Linked DNA regions of Bombyx mori. The protein of the gene in region 1 interacts with the protein of each later gene in a pairwise test. Links are inferred from orthologs where the notes say so. Each region holds a gene or a part of one and is shown in the gene's direction. Other genes may lie near its edges.

Evidence for each region.
Region 2: the proteins of neurexin-4 (region 1) and patj homolog interact in a two-hybrid assay, tested with the Drosophila melanogaster proteins (2 studies listed by BioGRID). The link is inferred for Bombyx mori from reciprocal best matches to the Drosophila melanogaster genes Nrx-IV and Patj.

Annotation. Positions count from the first base shown.
Region 1 is NC_085115.1:15,840,472-15,844,299, forward strand, and holds part of neurexin-4, read left to right. Parts: intron 1-441; coding exon 442-618; intron 619-1,165; coding exon 1,166-1,327; intron 1,328-1,642; coding exon 1,643-1,859; intron 1,860-2,240; coding exon 2,241-2,385; intron 2,386-2,470; coding exon 2,471-2,577; intron 2,578-3,144; coding exon 3,145-3,270; intron 3,271-3,348; coding exon 3,349-3,552; intron 3,553-3,828. UniProt on the Drosophila melanogaster protein: Seems to play a role in the formation and function of septate junctions.
Region 2 is NC_085111.1:10,386,390-10,390,217, forward strand, and holds part of patj homolog, read left to right. Parts: intron 1-200; coding exon 201-343; intron 344-1,294; coding exon 1,295-1,480; intron 1,481-2,092; coding exon 2,093-2,241; intron 2,242-3,699; coding exon 3,700-3,828. UniProt on the Drosophila melanogaster protein: Involved in cell polarity establishment. Probably participates in the assembly, positioning and maintenance of adherens junctions via its interaction with the SAC complex.

The DNA of each region.
Region 1 (3,828 bases):
ACTAGTGTAGTTTGCGACAAAGGAAACAGCCTCTTTTCAGATGTTAGTATAACAAAAACTAACGGTTGAGATTAAGTTTTTTTACAATGTCAACCATCATCCTTTTTTTATCAAAATATTATTTCTTTTTGTTATTTTTATGCGTCTAAAATGCTTTTAGTTTATATTTTCAATAATTTTTTGGAAGAAATCTTTAAGGCATGCTTAGAAACTATCCCATTATCCAGAAACAATTGGGTACGTGTGTGTTTCATGTATACTAATATTGAGTACATTATAATTGAGAGTATTCAATACTAGGTGAAACCATAATATTGTCTGCTAGTCTACAGCATTATACAAATTATGTCTAAACTGTTAGAGCACTGTAAATGAAGAAATGACTACAGTGTCAGTTTTAAAATATTACAAATTAATTAATTTAGTATTACCTTGTTACAGTTGTACATAGGGGGCGTGCCGAATTTACAAGAGGGTCTAGTCGTGAACCAGAATTTCACAGGCTGCATAGAGAACATGTACCTCAACGCGACCAACGTTATACAAGATTTGAAAAAGGGCTATGAGAGTGGCGAACCATTTAAGTTCCAGAAACTGAACACCCTGTACGCGTGTCCGGTGAGTAGCAGCGACCGCAGTGTTCTAACGTCATTAAAAAATAAATAAATATATATATATATATATTTTTAAGGGATTTTACGACCTGGTAACTAAGACCTTTATGGCATGTCTTATTTTAATTTATATTGTTATTTTTATGAAAAATGATGAAATGAAATGAAAATGATTAATTTGAGATATTAATCAATTGGGATGAAATCAAATGAGATGCGATGAGATGATATGGGATGAAATATAATCTCAGTAAAATTGTGGTCATTTTAGTGGACTTTTTGGAGGATCCCGAGAAGCTACGTCCAGCGGCCTTGTTTCATTTTCCCACATTTGTGCACTTTCACAGATACTAAACAGTTAATAAACTACCGTTATTACACATTTAAACCTGAAGAAACACTAAATAAACATAATAAAACAAATCACGCAACTTCCGTCCTCGCGTTCCCGCCAAAAAGTCCCAAAAAAATTATTTAATTATAAAGCACAGATAATTTAATCTTCTAGTTTTCTCTATGCCCGTTTTCGTTACTCCGCTGTGTCTGTGTAGGAGCCCCCTGTGGTGCCGGTGACGTTCCTGAAGGAAGGCTCGTACGCCAAGCTGCGCGGGTACTCCGGCGGCAGCGCGCTCAACGTGTCGCTGGAGTTCAGGACCTACGAGCTGCAGGGGCTGCTGGTGTACCACCGGTTCAACACCGAGGGATATGTTAAGGTACCTGCTTATAGGACAGAAATATGTTTAGAATTTTACTAGTTAATGTTACCGGTGCGTGTCGGTGACGCGATCAGAATGAAAAAAATTAAAGAAAGAGAAAAAACACGAGTGTAGTTTTGTCTCGGTCTCTCGAAAGCGATGCCATTGTATATATTATACATTTACGTACATATTACCATCGTACGAACCTGACTACATGACAATGGTGTAAAACAACTGAGATGCGGACGCGGAGACAAGATGAAATACTATTTTATATTCACGTTACAGCTTGTAGCCGGGTTTGTTAATATTTAGTTATTTGTCCATCAGGTATATCTTGAAGATGGTAAAGTGAAAGTCGAGTTGGAGACGGCCGGATCTCCTCGCGTGAAGCTGGACAACTACGTGGAGCTGTGGAACGACGGTCGCTGGCACTCGCTGATGCTGACCCTGGCCCCGGACTCGCTGGTGCTGTCCATGGACTCCAGAGCCGTACACACGTCAAAGAGACTGCGATTTCTTACCGGCAGCTATTATTTTATTGCTGGTGAGTGTCAGATTTAATGTGCAGTCGAAGCGTTCCTCGTGGGTGGCCATGGTCACGTCATGCTTGTATCGTTCGGATAGCTGTGTCCAGGAATTCAACAAAATGACAAAATTATATTTTTATACTTTTATTAAGTACTGCTTTTTACAATTTTATATTATTCGATTCACAATAAGTCTGCGGCTTATCGCTTATGTTGTTGGTGTTGTGCACGTGTCTCTGTCGCGTCTCTCTGCCTTCACGTTTTGTCACCCCGCACTCCGCTTCCGCGTGCCCTCCTCGTTTGGGTATCGTCGCCGACAGTTGGGTTTGTAGTTATAAGTTGTATACTACACAGCAACCAGCAGACTGGCAAACATTAACATAGTATCGTTTCTTCAGGAGGCAAAGCCCCACCGCGCGGCTTCATCGGTTGCATGCGCAAGATTTCCGTGGACGGCAACTACCGCCTGCCGACGGACTGGAAGAAGGAGGACTACTGCTGCCCCAACGAGCTCGTGTTCGACGCCTGCCAGATGATCGACAGGTGAGTAGTTGAGGTCGCGCCGCACTGTGCTGACGGAGCCTCACCCTCACCCTCACCCTCACCCTTACCCTCGGCCGGCCCGCAGGTGCAGCCCCAACCCCTGCGAGCACGGCGGCCGCTGCGCGCAGACCGCTGACGAGTTCTCCTGCAACTGCCGCGACACGGGCTACGCCGGCGCCGTGTGCCACACGTGTGAGTACTGACGCTTCGACGATATTTAAAGTAAAGGTATTATCCTGAGAATAACTCATTTCGAGAAGGCGGCACGACATGAGAATCCCCTAGTCGTGGCCTCTGGAAACTACATACCCGATCCTGTAGACCGAATGGTAAACAGTCGACGTCGAAAGCACATCGTTACGGATCCCCCTGATCCATTAATGGTGCTTTTAGGCACCACAAGCACCGGTCACCGTCCTCGTCGAACCCGTCGCTTGCGACGAAGGACTCGACGAGCGAGTTAACTGATAGACACAGCCCTCTGAGTTTCTCGCCGGATCTTCTCAGTGGGTCGCGTTTTCGATCCGGTGGCAGATTCTGCGAAGCACTGCTCTTGCTAGGATCAGTGTTAGCAACACTCCGGTTTGAGCCCCGTGAGCTCACCTACACACGTTAGGGCGAAGCTGAAATAGCCTCTCAAGGCTATCAGCATAGGTAGGGAAAAAAGAGAATAAATTTTTAATGAGGACATGTAAGGACAACAGGTTTGGTTAACGAGGAGTAACAGTAGTTCTTCGATGTAAATGAGAATGTCCGCAGCGGTGCACCCGTTGTCGTGCCAGGCGTACCACAGTGTGTCGGCGGCCCGGCGCTCCGCCAGCGTGCACATCGACGTGGACGGCTCCGGCCCGCTGCCGCCCTTCCCCGTCACCTGCGAGTTCTACTGTGAGTACGCGCCCTCGCCCCCCAACCCCTCGCCCCCGCCCCCGCCCCCGCCCGCAGTAACCGCACCGTCGCTTGCAGCGGACGGCCGCGTGATAACGTCGGTGAAGCACTCGGTGTCGCAGAGCACGGTGGTGGACGGCTACCAGGAGGCGGGCAGCTTCCGGCAGGACGTCATCTACGACGCCAACCGGGCGCAGCTCGAGGCCCTGCTCAACAGATCTGTATCCTGCTCGCAGCGGCTGGACTACTGGTGCAGGCACTCGAGGCTCATGAACTCACCTAGTAAGCTCTAATATAAATAGATCAATAATGAATTAATAGTGAACGGTGTTCGGTAAGACAAATGTGATAGCACTAGATAACTAGTAGTCAATAATAACGAGGAAATATTACTTAAAAACTAAAAAAAAATACATGTGTTTGTACTCATATATTAGGCAAAGCTATAAAACAATTTGTGTCGTCATCAGCCCTTGATGTGTATCCAAATTTTCAAGCTAACAGCATGACTAAAGTCGGTGAACACACAGACTGTTAGAGGTCAAGCTTAGAAAAGCG
Region 2 (3,828 bases), on another chromosome or scaffold:
ATCGTGGGTTCCGATTGGACAGTATCTATACTAATGCAATTAATATTTGAATGTTATGTCTCAAACTTACTATAAACTCCAGTATGGCGCTAATAATGGAGTGCATCGTATCTAATATTAACTTTACGGTTAATTCTGTATGCAAATTATTAGTATATCAATTGAAATTAAACATTGAAATTGACATACGACTCTTACAGAACGGATAACGGCACAGATGACGCTGTGCCTCTAACTCGCAGCAGTCCTCCGGCGACTGCACTGCGTCCGGCACCAGCGTTCGAGATGCCACGGACTCCTGAACAAAAAGAAGCGATAAGAAGGAAATGGCAGGCTATATTAGGTAAACTAGCTGACCCGGCAGACTTCGTAGTGCCTCAATCTATAAATAAAAGACCTAAACTTTTGTATAAAATAAACTTAAAACAAACAAAAGGAATTCGTCCGACGGGGGACACATCAAAGGGAAAACAAAATTGTTATTTTTATTTAATTCCGAGAATTTTCATATTTATCTACCTTTTAAACCTTCTCTGGACTTCCACAAATAATTCAAGACCAAAATTAGCTAAATCGGTCCAGCCGTTCTCGAGTTTTAGCGAGACTAACGAACAGCAGTTCATTTTTATATATATAGATTTTTAATACAAACCATCGTCTCTACTAGCGCTATCCTAAATAGTCTTTATAAACTTTAATCAATTTGTGGAAAACATTCTCGTTTTTTTTGTAAGTCATAGTACTAAGAAAACACTGGAGGATGAGCGTGTTTCAAAATGTCACCACTGGGAAACATGGCGCACGTGATGTATGAGGTTCCAGATATTAAGATTAAACACCACTTTGCTTAAAGTTGAGTGTAGACAACAATTTAAGTTAGTATAAATACATATTTGGATGTTTTCTCTTGACCACATCAAGAGTGGTACATAATGTACTTGCTTTTGCCCGCGACTTCGTCCGCGTGGAATAGTTACTTTGGCATAACGCTAAATTTTACCCGCGACTTCATTTACGTAGAAAGTGTAAATATTTTAGAATAATAGAATGTTAAGGAGTATTTTAAGTACCAAAATCATGCATTTTAAGCGATTTCAAAAGAGGAGGCTATCAATTCGACCACCATTTTTTATTTGTGTATGTTCACCGATTTCTCGAGAATGCTTGAACCGATTCTGATAATTCTCACTGAAACAATATTTCAAAATTTTTATTTTCAAATTTTCAAATCGGAACAAACAAACAAACTCTCCAGCTTTATAATGTTAGTAATGTATATGTTTGACGGTTGCAGGCGAGGACGTGGAGATAGTGGTGGGCGTGGTGGTGCGCGGTGGGGGTGGTCTGGGCATTTCGCTAGAAGGCACCGTGGACGTGGAGGGGGGGCGCGAGGTGAGGCCGCATCACTACGTGCGCTCCGTGCTGCCCGAGGGGCCCGTGGGCCGCGCCGCCGTGCATCGCCCCGGCGACGAGCTGCTCGGTACTCGCACTATACTGTCTCATACGTCTGTTCCTCAACTGTCTGTCCAGTTTATGGCGCAATAAAAGGGGTTGGGAATAACGATATGCAGGTCTGAGATGCTTAAACATTCGAAGCAACCATCATCAGCACAAACAATTATCTTGCTCGAAGACTCCGCGCCGGTGGGTACCACCACCCTGCCTATTTCTGCCGTGAAACAGTAATGCGTTTTGGTTTGGAGGGTGGGTCAGCCGTTGTAACTATACTTGAGACCTTAGAACTTATATATTGAGGTGGGTGGCGCATTTACGTCGTAAATGTCTATGGGCTCCAGTACTTAACTTAACACCAGGTGGGCTGTGAGCTCGTCCATCCATATAGCAATAAAATAAAATAAAAAAGATTCCACATTCCAAATGTTATCAGAGTATTCAGTGTCGAATTACTAGTTCCTACGACCATTTTTCCGATTTATTAAACATTTTGCGAATCGCCCCAAGCAGCCCCTTAACACGCGACGTAAGTTAGAAATGTTGAAAACGTGATTCGTGCCCGGCTCCTCCAAAAATAATGAAAATGAGAAAATTGCCGTTGTTTACATGCGCTTATTATTAAATAAACAAATTACAGAAGTGAACGGTCATCGGCTCCTGGGCATGAACCACTTAGAAGTGGTGTCAATTCTGAAGGAATTATCGAGTGAAGTCTGCATGGTGTGTGCGAGACCTCGACCTGCGCCCCCTCTCGACCTAGCGCCGCCTGCCACAACATTAGTGAAGGTTAAATTTGTTTTATAACTATTATATACTTACCAGAAGAAAAAAAAACATTTGTATTAGATGAATCCAAAACTATTTTATTTTATTAGTGAATAAACAAACTCAAATTACACTTGGTGTCAAATGCTGGCACATAGCTACCCCCTCTGTCAAACTAGGTCAGAGTCTCAATTGATTTAATTGATTTGTATAACGATTGTTCTACGTTCCAAACTGGAAGGTATGATAGCTTCGTGCCACAACAAGATAGAATTGTTGAACCTGTCCGTACGGGCTCACATATGTTACAATGGCGATTATTTGATTAGTACAGTATTACACTCGGATTAATTATTCGTATGATCATTCCTAAAATAGAATGTTAATGCTTAGAGAAAAAAATTAGGACACCGCTCAACTGATTTGATTTGATTTCATTTATTTTGACCTGGATTTTAGGAATTAACAGAGCCTACAGCTAATACTTCCGAAGTCGACATTTTAGCAAGCAAAATTAGGTAGAAGTTTCAATTGCGCTAGAATATTGGTTAACCTATTTTTTTAACTAAAAAATTCGATTGCGTCAATAGTAATAGGCATTGATAAAGTAATATAATTATTATAATTAATATAATAAATAGGCTTGATTAATTAATATGATGTTATCTCTATTACGCGGAGGCTGTACACGTTATCGCAGACACCTACATAAATTAAGGAGTCAGTCTGTCTGTCAATCAGAAAGAAATGTAGTTGTTCTAAGATCCAGATTGACAATTGTATGTTTAAGTAACCGCGTTTGTTGTTCATTGACATAAGGTACCTTTTATTTAAAATGGCATTCATTCTTCAATGCGTTCATTGTTGTTGTGTATTTGCATAAGACAAAAACAAAAGTTTTAAAAAAACAAAATGAACAGGTCTGATGTCTTTTTTCAGTGACCAAAATCGGTATCCATGATGTTTGGGGTTGTTAGTAAAGTGCCCATTAACTCTTACAAGGTGCCGAGAACGGTAAAATATGTTTGTTTGCATGAATGATTCATATTTAATTTGTGTAATCGAGATTCTAGTAAGAAGTTCCCTATAAAGTAATAAGTAAAAGGCATTTCCGACATTATGATATCGAAACAATACTTGTGTCTTGTTAAAATAAAAATCCTTATCCTAATCTATGTATTGTAAGAACAGATGTAATTTCCATAGATATAAAGCTGAAATTTACAAAATGCACGTTCTTCAGAATCGGCGGTAGGCTGTTAATTTCTCGTTGCATTCATTGTAGATTTGTATCTTTGACGTAGCCTTGGTAACGTATCTGTATCTTTTTTGATAGAGTAGTTATTTGATTCTGTGTTTAAAAGATAAAATATATTTCTTCTTCAAAAATCTCTGTTACACCGTAAGGCGCACCTAATCTCGACTATTCAGTGGCATTTATTTTAATGTAGAAATTAATCATTTTTATTAATACTTTAGGCGAAATCGGACGGTAGCCTGGCGGGTGCGGGTGCTGAGGAAGGCGGGTCGCTGTCCGCCGCTGGGAAAGTTCGTTCCCGGAGTCTCGAACCACTAACCGGACTTGCTATGTGGTCTTCTGAACCCCAG